2 linked regions of the Diceros bicornis minor genome follow. The protein of the gene in region 1 interacts with the protein of each later gene in a pairwise test. Links are inferred from orthologs where the notes say so. Each region holds a gene or a part of one and is shown in the gene's direction. Other genes may lie near its edges. The genes, in order: ZHX1 and ZMYND11.

Region 1 (6,067 bases):
GCTGTGCTTTTTAAAACCTGCTGGACAACTTCTCATCTCTAACAGTACTGAAATTTTGCCATACCAGACTGTGTATGACAAGCGGCAAAACATATGCATAAAAAAATCTAGATTCTTCTAATTGAGCCAATCCATGGGTAAAAACTTACTTCTGGAGCCACACAGCTGTTGAAATCAGTCATATTTACAATTTTTACAAATGAGTTTATTTTAATAAAAACAAGTTACTCTGTGAGCATGATCTCTAAACAGATTTATGTGGGCTGGCGCAATCTGCTATGCTAAACATATATTCATATTGCTTAGGTCTGCAACCAGCTTTTTTGAGTGTGATAACAGTCTTGCTTTGTACAAGGATACCAAATAATTGGCAGCAATTCAGCCAAGGACACTGGTTCTCAGCACTGTGCTATTGAAATTGTTTTCCTGGACAGAACTGCCCTGCGGGCATGGCCCTAAATTGGGAAGACTCTGGGCTACTGGCATTGGGCAGTGAACCAGGCAGACAGCTTCAAGAGAGAAGGAGGTGACTCTATAAACTGGTGCTAAAGAAGAAGAGGAGGAGGAGGGGGAGGAGGGGTGGGAGAAGAGGAAGGAAGGGAAAAAGGAAGGGAGGGAGGGAGAGAGGAAGGGAGAGGGAGACAGAGGAAGAGAGGCAGAGGGAAGGTGAGATTTATATTCATTAATCCATGCCTTTAAAAGGGTCTCTATGTATATCTCCTTGATCTCTTCTCACCTCTTGTCTTGCTTGACGTTTTTATGCTCATGTTTTTTGCTCGGTTACTAGACTATAATCTCCTTGAAGACAGAAATATTGCCTGACTCAGCTTTGCATCTCCTACAGTGCCTGATATACGCTGGTGCTCAAAAACCTAGTTGCTAAATGCATGAACGAAAGAATGAATTTCTGTATCTGAAGCATTTCCTTTCAAGTCCTAAACCGAGGTTCTCAGTGGGCACAGTACTGCCCCCTAGGGGGCATATTGAAATTTTGTGGGGGCAGTTTTTGTCTTGTATTGTTCTCATATTGGTACTAGAGTATTTATACAGTGAAAAACATTATTTTTACTGATATTAGTATAGTCTTTTAGAATAAACTACTTTCCCTTTTTTCACGTTTATATTATTGACACATTTACATTGGTTTCTTGCAATTGTTTTGTAGATAGTTATCTATGAATTTGATTCCAGGAGAGTAAAGTAGTACTACATTTTTGTTGTAAGTACAGACTGTTGAGTATGGCAGGATTGAGCACCTCTGTTTATAAGATCATTAAGCGTTGCTTGATTCTGCTTCCACAAGTTCTGGGATCCTAAGACGAAACATACAAATAAAAAGAAGCTGGTGTACTTTGATTTCAACAATCAGGTTCTCGCCACAAGCAACTGCGTATTTTAGGGTTGATGTGGCTCGGTGGGGCACGGCTGTCAAAGCGCAGAGGGTGAGTGAGTGGGGCACGCACGCCCAGGCCCCTGACTGCACTGCCCTGCTGTGCAGAGCAGTTCGGATGGTGACTCGTTCCTCTCGGCTTGGGTGTGTACTTTTCTTCATTTAAAAAATGATGTAGGGGGTGGAGGTAAGGGGAGGTGGGGAGTGGCGGTGACGCCTTCCTGTCTTCCCCGAAGCCTGGGTCCATAGCTGGCCGTCTCTGCGAAGCTGGTTCACAGTGAAGCTGTCCGGATTTGAGGACCACGGCTGGAAAAGAAAGCCCTCCAGAAAAGTGACTCGTGACCAGGCAAAGGAGGATTTTCAGAGAGCAGAGGGAGCAGAGGGCGGCTCTGTCTAGCACGGTGGTTCGAAGCGAGGTTGAACTTCTAGTGCCAGCCGGTGGAGCTGCGGCTTGTGGAATCGGGACCGAAGGCAAGAAGAGGCGGGCCGGCGATTGACAGAAGGTGGGGCTTCGAGCTAGAATCGAGACCGGTCTCGGGAAGGCGGGGCTTCCATTGACAGTGGGCGGGGCCTCCGCGGAAAGGAGGCGGGGCTTAGGTAGTACTGCCGCCAGGAGATGGGGCTTAGGATGACGAGAGGCGTTTCTCACCATCCGGCTACAACATTGGGACGGCGGAGCGCCCAGAGGGCGGGGCCACAGCTGGGAGAAGGCGGGGCTGCCCTCTGGATTGACCTGAGTGACGACCAGGCTTCTATTGCTAGCGGGCGGAGCTATCGCCGGCAAGGGGCGGCGCCGCTCCGAGACCTGGAGAAGGCGGGGCTTCTATTGACAGAGGGCGGGGCTTCCGCATACTGGGGCGGGGCTTCTGTTGACAGAGGGGCGGGGCGGCTGCCTCCCTCTCTCCTTGCGCCAATCCAACGGGTAGAGGCCCGGGTCGAACCCTAGGGGAGCAGTAGGGTCCCGGAGCGCAGAGCCCGGCGCGGAGAGGGGTGGGGGCGCGCGGAGGGCGCGCGCGCGGGAGGGCCCCGCCTCGGCCGGCTCTTCCCTCCCCCCCCCACCCCCGGTCGGCCGCTGGGGCGCGCGCCTCGCCTCGCACCCCCACCCCCGACCCTTCAAGCTCCCCGGGGCCCGCCGAGCGGCCGAGGCCGGGTCCCGGCCCGCTGAGCGGTTCCGGGTGTAGGGTTCACAGGTCAGAGTTGACTCCCTGAAAAGTGCAGCCGGTTTGAAATGCAAGATGGCGGCGGTGGGGCGCTGAGAGGCGCGGCGGCCCCTGCAGGTAGCGGCGCGAGTCGGCCCCGCGACGAGCTGGCCGGGGCGCCCCGGGGCTGCGGGTGGGAGCGGGCAGCGCAGAGCCCACGGCCGGCGCGGCGGGCCGGGAAGGAGGGCGGCGCGGGCCGGACGGCGAGGGCAGCGCCGGGGCAGAGACTCCGGGGGCTGGGCGCGCTCGCCGCGGCGGGTGGCGGGGCGGACCGGCGCGGGCCGTCCGAGCGGGAGGGACCGGGCCTGCCTGGGCCAGGGATCGCCGCCGGTGGACGACCCTGCGCCTCCTTCGCGCTTTCGGGGTCTCTGCGGCCGTGGAAGGAGCTGGGGGTGGGCTGTGTAAAGGAGATTTCAGCTCTCCTGTCTCTGAGAGGACTGAGCGACTTGGGACTGTTGGGGGAGTGCAGACTGGTCTCCTGGGGGAGGACGCCTTAGGGATGGAGGACTCCAGCAGTGCTGAGGGTCCAAGGGGAGGTAGCGAGCCCTGCCCTGCGGGGGCGTGTGGCCGCCTGGGGACTGCCTCCCTGAAAGTAAGGAGAGATTCTCTTGCTGGAGCTGGGCGCGCTGGCGTTGTGGTTGGAGCCCCGGGAAACCCTTCGGGGAGAGGCTGTACCCCACTTCGTGGAAGCCTGGGCACACACTTCAGGACCGGGCCATGCCCCCACTTTGGGGCAAGACTCCGAGTTGAGTCCTTAAGAACCATATTACGTTTTGAGGAAGCCCTGGGACTTAGGGAGAAGTTAAAGAGAATGGAAATGTTATCCGGCCCTTTCAGGACGCAGGGAGGCTGACCAGGGACTCCTTCAAGCCTGAGGGCCTAAAGGGAACAGTCTCCTAATCCTTGCGGGGAATGGGGGGCTGGGAAGGAGATGTGAGAGGACAGGGCTCTCATGGCAGGAAAGAGGAGCCCTGGCGGATGCCCTTTGCCTGTAATTTACACCGAAGTTCTGGGTAAAGGGGCTTGAAATTCTTTGTTTCAGCACGTCTCCCCTCTTTGGTAACAGTAAGGAAAGAGCAAAACCCCGGAGAAGGAAAAGCTTCTATTTGATATCCTTAGCTTAGGTTAGAGAAGGATCAAGCTGTGCTCAGGCTTCACTGAGAGACTCGGGGTAGGAGAATTAGGAAGCAGGAAAGGGGATGGATAGAGGAGGAATATGGGGCAGAGGTTGGGCAGAGCGGGAATTCCACAGCGCTTTTCTGTCATTTCACTCCAGCTCTAAAGAAACACGTGAGAAGAGGCTAATCTTTGCGGGGTGGTGGTGGTGGTGGTGGGGGTGGGGGGGGTGGGGGGTGGTGGGGGTGGGGGGGGGGTGGTGGGGGTGGTGGGGGTGGTGGTGGTGGTGGTGGTGTGTGTGTGTGTGTGTGTGTCGTTGGGTGCTGTAAGGAAAGGCTAACTGATAGAGGATTTGTAATGTGATTAGGTTGGGATTCCATGTAATTTGAAAAGAAGAAGCAATTCTCTTGGAGGTTAAGAGGATAGAAGAAAAGGGAAAATCACAGAATTGGGAAATAGAGTGGTTCTCAGGGAGGAAGAAGCCAGCTTTCTCCCAAGAATAGTGACTGTTTGTTGGGTTGAAGTGTATGTTTGTCCGTACCTACAGAAGTGCACCTTCAGATTTGTTGGTATTGGTCATTGTTTCTCAGTCTTTGTCTGAAAGCTTTAGCTTGTGTTATATGGTGCTACATGAATTATCCTTGCTTCTGAAAAATTATCCTGAAAGAGTCGTTTGTTTTTATGCCAACAGTGAGGATGAACAGGAATTGGTTCTAACAGGAATATTGGCCCTAGTCTAGCCATGGATTTTTTATTTCTTAATAGCCATTCTGACTCTTGATTTTAAGCAAAAGAAATGTGAATGCTGCCAAAGACAATAATGCGCTCACAGGATGTAAAAGAAAAAAAGACTTTCATGAATATTTTCTCCTCTTAGTTTTTCTCTCCTTATTCTCTAAGCCTTTTACGGCTAAGCAGACTAATTTTATGCAAAATAAAATGTAAAATCATGGGTCCTTGCAGTATAGAAGTGATAGCATTTCATTTATCAATGTCTTTTTGTAGAAGAACCTTTCAAATGCTTTCCTTAGTGATCAGGATTAAAATGAGAAAAAAAGAATTAAAGTAAGACTTGGGTAATTGATGACAGCTATGATTCATACAGATTTCTTGAACCGTTCTGGTTTTTTTAAAAGAGCTTTAACGTCTTCAATGGAAATGTTTTTAAAAACACATTTCAAGTATAAACTAGTTGAGAGCTGCACATTTGGAACATTATTATACATGTGTGCTGTTCTTTGGTTTTTCCAAAGTGCGTGTAGCTCTAGTTTTATATTCAGTTCTGAACAGATTAGATTGGGTGAACCAGAGTGACATTGATGCCAGATGGTCTGAAAATATGCTACGGCTGCAAACATAACTGTGCCTGTGCTGGGGAACACTCATTAGTAGATAGATGTCTTTCCCTTATAGCGAGCTTATTATTTCACTGGATTTGGAGGACAATTGATGAATGATGTAGCAATTATTTCACCTTGAATGACACTTGTATTATAAGTTCTTCTTTTCAATAAATGTGAATAAAGTTTTACAATTATTTTGTTAATAAACTTAATAGCATAGGTGAGGTAGTTCATTTTGAAGATTTTCTCCCTTTTGTATTATATTTCACATTAAAACTGCAAGGTGATGTTATGATGTATTATACATTTTCTTTCTTGTAATGTTCATTGGGCACAAAAATGTGATATTTGGGACTTAGTTTGCTTTAAGTTATGCCTTTATACTTAAATGGAAGTACTAGTAAAATTACTAAAATGATTACAGATGTAGCTGAGGAAATAACCTTTTTATGTACATTACAGCATTGTGGATTTGGGCTCAAAAGGCTCTACTTATTTGAATATTAACAGTGTTAAAAGTTCAGTGCCTAAACTAGTTTTTAATCTAATATCATATTCAATAAATTCAGGGAAGTGTTTGGGAATATCTATTGCACCATTTATGGTAATAGCCAGTATAGCACATTCACTTTTACATCTAATTTTTTTCTAACTTAAAATCCTTTTAAATCATTCTGTGTAATTTCAAAAGTAATTTAAATTACATTTCTTTGAAGGGAAAAAACTATGATACTAGCCATTGAATAACAGCCCATGTTGCCATAATATTACTGATATATTTTATTGTGTCCTTGTTGCTCTGATATATTTGTAGTAGTGAGTAACCAGATTTACATGACTGAAGCTGCTGATTTAGATTACTAATCAGCATATACATTTGATTTTACATTTTGGAGATCTGTATTTTATACAGTTAATTTTTTAAGTAAATATTTATGTAAATTTTTGTGTAGTTGTCAGATTTTGGTCTTAAAGCATACTTAATCTTTGCAGTTTCTATAATCCATCTTCCATAATGT
Region 2 (6,067 bases), on another chromosome or scaffold:
TTGCTATAGAGCTTAGGATATTCTTCTCCACTCTCAATCTTACTAATATTCACCTATATTTTATTCTACCTTTTGAAAAATGATTTTCGGTTTTTACAATTATAGTATTTAAGTCATTTGAATTATTTTTAAGTGTGAAGTGTACAGTAAGAATATAATTTGATTTATTTTTTAAATAGACAAATTTTCCAGATCAATTTGTTGAATAATCCATGCTTCTCTATTTACATAACATTTCTTAAATCAGAATCTGGAAAAAGTGATATGCTGATCAAGTCAGGTATTAGCTAAGTGTGGAGAGTGCTGGTTGGGGTTACACAAGAACAGGAATGTTGTGTGGGGTCCTTCCTTGGGTGGTGCAAAGTCTCTGAAACGTGTAAGTTGATGCAAACCATTCCTCACTGCCCACCACTCTTCCTTTTCTTCTCTTATCCCTCACACGTTGGCCCCTTGCCTCTTCTTGGCAATCTGACAGATAACTTCATGGTGTAACTTAAGTTGTACAGAAGTAACTATTTTGGTCTTCTCCGCCTCCCCCCAACTCCCAACCCCAAACCTTTGACCTCCAGACCACCTCCTGTCCCCCATATTCACTCAGATGAGGGAAAAATGAGGTAAATAAAACTGTTCTGAAGGGAAAATAGAGCCAAGGGTTAAATTCTAGGCAACACCAATAGATAAGCTATCTAACTTACCTTAGATAGAATTAGAGACAGTATCTGGAGACAGTACAAAAATTGATGCCTAAGAAATTTAATTGGAGAAAAATGTAGAGTTATGCAGTCACTTCTTTCCTAAAAAGTAAGCTTCGTTTTATACATACATGATGTTGTCTGACTTGAGTGGTCTTCATGAACTATATAGAACCATGTAGTCCTCTATTTTATAGATGACTGAAAAAGAAAAAAAAAGGTGATTTACTTAAAGCTATTGTTAGAATTCCTGGTCCAGCATTCAAACCAGATATGACTTGATTTTTTCTGACATCCTTTAACCCCTCTGCTGGATTTTAATGGCATATGTTCATCTCCAAAATTAAAATGAGTTAAAATTATTTCATGATGTCCCTTGAGATAAGCAAAAACTCTCAGGGCTATAAATGGCTGAAAGATTATGTTTCTTTGACTCATGTACATCATAGAACACATATTCAAGTACCACCCATTTCTAAATTCTAACTTAGTCTTAGAGAAGATTGATGAATTGGATTAGAATCCCAAAATTTCTTGGACAGATTCTTTCCAATGATTTTCAGGTACATATGTCCAATGAGAATCAGAGTAAGAAATTTTGGCTGATAGGCCCTTCCTTCCAAACTCCTAGTAGAGAAAGGTCATTAGGGAAAATATGTGAAATCCATAAAAGTATGCTTATCTCTGAGACTTCTCTAGTTAGATCTAGCATCAAACTAAAAAAGATAATCTACTTTTCCTTACACAAATTTGTAGTGTTTTCGCTAAATTTATAATGGGTGGTCCCGTCCTTTTCGAAGTCCTATTTGTGTACGTATGGATGAGGAATTTAGCATACCCCTGCAATTCCTTTTGATGACAGAATTAAAAAGATATTAAACCACTTTACCAATTTTGTTAATTCAAAAACTAATGCTTCTCAAAGACTTCGCATTCCCGGACGGTGCACATTACAGAACAGGTACGTCCCACGTGAAGACAGCCGTCGGCCGGGCACTGCCCTCAGCCCCGCGGTCCGAGCCTAACAATGCTGCGAGCGCCGGGACCTTTGTGCGCTCGGCTCTTGGCTCCCGCGTGCCGGCAGTACGTCGCTTTCACGTGTGTACTGCCATGAATGCCTGTGTGGATATGTAGGAATATGCTGAAACAAATCTGGGGAGGCACGGAGGACAGGACCGAGGGAAGGTGGGTGTGGGCGTGCACGGCGCCGGCCCGGCCGGGAGGGAGCCCGCAGCCCGCGGCCCGGCGGGCCCGCGCCCGCGCCCGAGCCCCGAGCCTTCGGCGCGGCCGGCCGGGCCGCACAGTACACTCCGGGGGCGGGCGGAGGTGGAGGAGGCCGGGCCGGGCGAGCGGCCGCCCCGCGCAGACACCGCCATGTGAGCGGGCCGCGGCCTCGCAGGACGCAAACTTTCCCGGCGGCGGCGGCGCCCCAACTTCCCGCCCCCGCCCGGGCCCGCCGCTCGGCGCGGAGACACCGTAAGTGCGGGCGGCGGCGGGGCCTCCTGCGGCCGCCGCGCCTTCCCTAGTCCGGGCGCTCGCGTGTGATGTGGTGGAGGGTTGTAAACATGGCGCCCCGGCCCCGCCGGGCCGGGCGGAGGGCGGCGGGGAGCCGGCGGGGCGACGACGGAGAGCCGGGGAGGGCGGCGGGGAGATGAGGAGGCCGGGCCCGCGGAGCCGGGGAGGAAGGCGGGGAGATGAGGAGGCCGGGGCCGCGGAGCCGGGCGGAGGGCGGCGGGGAGCCGGCGGGGCGACGACGGAGAGACGGGGAGGGCGGCGGGGAGATGAGGAGGCCGGGCCCGCGGAGCCGGGGAGGAAGGCGGGGAGAGCGAGCCCGCAGATCCGGAGGCGGGGAGGCCGGGAGACGGGGAGCCCCCCCGCGCCCCGCCGGCCCAGGCCCGGGAGGAGGCGGCGGCGGCGGCGAGGAGGAGGCGGCGCGGAGGGGGAGGGCCGGGCGCGGCGGCGGCGGCGGCGAGGACCGGAGCATAATGGTGGGCAGAAGCTCGGCGGGGGCGCGGGCGGGGGCGTCTGTGGCGGGGACGCCGCCGCTTTGTGGAACCCGGGCCCGGCTGCAGCCTCTCGGGCCGGCGGCACGGGTGTGACCGCCGCTCGCCCTCCCGCGAACGGCCCGAGTTGCCCGCGGAGCTTTGTGAGGGGCGGCCGGGGCCTGCGGGGCGGCGGGGCCTGCGGAGGTCCGCCCGCGCCCCCTCGCCTTCTGCGGGCCCGGGAGGGGGAGGCCCCGGAGGAGGAGGACCGCGCGGGGCCTGCTCGGGCCGGGAAGCCAGGGAGTCGCGTGAGCGCCGCCCGCCGGCACGGCCGTCCCCGCACGGCCAGGCCTCGGGGTCCGCGGCCGCGGGTCGGGGTCCGGCGGAACGCGGCCCCGTGAGTGTGGGGAGGGCGGGAGGGAGCTTTCGCGGCTCGTTGTTTGGGAGCGGTGGCCGCAGCTGGGCAGGGCGGTCCCCCAGGACCAGGCGCGGCTCGGTCCGCGTCCCCCGCGGCTGGAACCGGCGGCAGCGAGGCCTCCACCTCCTCAACAGGTCCTCCCGGGCCCCTGGGACCGCCTGCGGGGTCCGCCCTCCTCCCACCCGGCGTCCCGTCCGCAGAGGAGCTGCTCTGCGGGGCCCAGCAGGCCGGCTTGGGATGCGGGGCTCCTGGGGGGGCCCGGGGACCCCAGCTTCCACGTAGACTGTCCTTCACGTCTCTCTGGGTCAGCTGTGGAGGCGCTTACGGTGTGGGCCTGGTGCTGTGTGTCCGTGGTGCCCAGTGTGCGCCTGGTGCTCGGTGTATCTACGGTGTGTCCATGGGGCCCGGTGTTATATACGGCGTGCTCATGATGCTTGGTGTTACATATGGTGTGCCTGGTGTGATATATGGTGTTTGCGTGGTGTCCGGTGTGCACGTGGCACCTGGTGTTACCTACCGTGTGTGCATGGTACCTGGTTGTCCGCGGTGCCTGGTGTGCGCACGGTGTCGGTTGTCCGTGGTGCTGGTGTTAAATACGGTGTGTACATGGTGCCCGGTGTGCGCCTGGTGCCCAGTGTTTATATACGGTGTGCTGTTGATACCCGGTGTTATATGTGGTGAGCCCAGTGTTATATATAGTGTTCGCGTAGTGCCTGGTGTGCACGTGGCACCCGGTGTTACGTACGGTGTCTGCATGGTAGCCGGTGTGGGCAAGTGATACCCCGTGTTACTTAAAGTGTGTGCATGGTGCCCCGTGTGCACATATACGGTATATACTTAGTACCTGTGAGCTCAAAGCAGGTGGCCAGGTAGCCTCTTTAGGGAAGGGTGCCGGAAGGTTGGAGGAGCCCGCTGGGGTCAGATTTTTAGGGACCCACTGGGCTTGCTGAGGTTTAGGTCTGCGGTCCTCCGGTCTGCCTCACCTGGGTGTTCTGCATCCTACAGTAAACCGTGTCCTATGGAGGCAAGAGCCTGCTTAAAAATAATTTAATGTTTGTTGAAAGGCAGAAATTGAAACGTTTACTTGTTTTCTTTTAAACTGAGACATGTAATAGTTGTAGCTTAGTAATTATGGGATGCATAACCTTTTCAGGTTTTCGGGTCATTGATTCTAATGAATGGTTGAAAGTTGTTGGTGCGATAGTCTTGATTGTACTTTAAAAGTTTGAGTGCTTTCTGGTAAGCAAGGTCACCTTCGTGGTTTTTCTGAATTCTTATTGTACAAGCAAGAGATAAAATATGAATTTTGTACAGTTGTGTTATCGGCTAACTGGTGCTGGTTACGGTCATTATTTTGGTGGACTCTTCTTTATAAAATGGCCAGGCTAGAGAATCAAAGATCAGAAGATATGGGATGTGATTAGGACAGAATCAATAAAATATTTTTCCTGCTTAACTCTATCTGTGGTTAACAGAGGATTTCTATCTTTTTTACGTGGTAATTTTTTCATAGATGTTCATATGAAAACTGAATCTCCCTTTTACATTCTGTCAATTGGGCAGTTTATTTTACAGTTACCTATGGCAAGGTGTTTAAGTAAACATACATGTAAGTGCTGGCAGCTTTACGAAGAAAGGTCAATTAAAATGTTAAAATTTGGCTCCTTAGTTCATACTGAATATTCCTAGGATATCATTATGTTGGCACTTTGAGTGGATGTCATCTTGCGTGTTTCTGAGAATTGACATGTGTTTGTTTGAACTCATACCCTTTTGTAACCCCTTTTCATTTAAAGGGTGTTCAGATAGTCTATGATTGAGACATTCATACCCTTTGGCATACCTTAATTGAAGCTAATTAAGAATTTTAACATTTTAATACATGTATCAAATGCTGTCCTAATATTGTTTAAAGCCCTAAACCTCTGGTGTCATTTTCTTTACTTGCCTTTACCATCCTTCGGTTGAATTCTACATGGAATATATCATTTAAACAAAGAGGATGTATCTTGAAAAAAAAATTAAGGAGAAAATGGACAGTCAGACTTAGTCTTATGATAGTTAAAAGCTTTTCACTGTTTGAAAACTTTAACTTGGACTTGACATTGCATTTTTTGCCCAAAGGGTAATTAGATTTTTTGTTCTTAGAGAGGTCCATGGCAAAATGACTTTGCGGCCAGATGGCTTGGGTCTGAATCCCACCTCTGTCATTTACTAGCAGAATGACCTCAGGCAAATTACTTAAACTTGTCATGCCTGGTCTCAGTTTCCCCATATGAAAAATAAGGATGATAGTAATTGTACCTATCTCACAGAATTATTGACTCATAAACCACTATTAGACTAATTCAATTCAGTTGAGTCAAATTCAATTCAGGTTAATAATTAAACTAGTATGGAAAGGGGTGAAGCTCTGAAATTACGGTTTGGCATGCTCACATATGCCTTGTCTTACTAAGTTGTGTTTGACTGTCGTAGCTACCTCTGAATCTCTGGATTTTCACTTTAGTTATCTCAGAAGGTTGGAAAATAAGCATTTGTTATATTCCTCAGGGCTCATTTACTTGAAGCAATTTAAAGGACCTTTCTATCATTACTTTTTTTGTTTTTTTACTTTATTCATTGTGGTAAAATATATATAACAAAATTTACTATCTTAACCATTTTTAAGTGTACAGTACAGTGATATTAAATACATCCACTCTGTCATGTAGTCATCACAACCATCCATCTCCATAGTGCTTTTCATCTTGTAAAACTGAACCTCCATACCAATTAAACACTAACTCCCCATTCCTCCCTCCCTCCAGCCCCTGGCAACCACCTATCTTTACTTCTTTATCTTTGATGAAGAATATAGGTAGTTGAAGTACACAATGTGAGAGTTCTTATTTTAACCATTAGTTTTAAATTAATATTTTTATCTTTTCCCACATGTCACCCTGTCTGTAACTGCTTCAGGTTGTATGTTTTAT

The links.
Region 2: the proteins of ZHX1 (region 1) and ZMYND11 interact in a two-hybrid assay, tested with the Homo sapiens proteins (2 studies listed by BioGRID and IntAct). The link is inferred for Diceros bicornis minor from reciprocal best matches to the Homo sapiens genes ZHX1 and ZMYND11.

Annotation. Positions count from the first base shown.
Region 1 is NC_080760.1:38,902,270-38,908,336, reverse strand, and holds the start of ZHX1 (zinc fingers and homeoboxes protein 1), read left to right. Parts: upstream 1-2,448; 5' UTR 2,449-2,580; exon of another isoform or gene 2,581-2,667; intron 2,668-6,067. UniProt on the Homo sapiens protein: Acts as a transcriptional repressor. Increases DNMT3B-mediated repressive transcriptional activity when DNMT3B is tethered to DNA. May link molecule between DNMT3B and other co-repressor proteins.
Region 2 is NC_080775.1:72,980-79,046, forward strand, and holds the start of ZMYND11 (zinc finger MYND domain-containing protein 11), read left to right. Parts: upstream 1-1,723; 5' UTR 1,724-1,877; intron 1,878-2,044; exon of another isoform or gene 2,045-2,168; intron 2,169-2,661; exon of another isoform or gene 2,662-2,680; intron 2,681-6,067. UniProt on the Homo sapiens protein: Chromatin reader that specifically recognizes and binds histone H3.3 trimethylated at 'Lys-36' (H3.3K36me3) and regulates RNA polymerase II elongation. Does not bind other histone H3 subtypes (H3.1 or H3.2).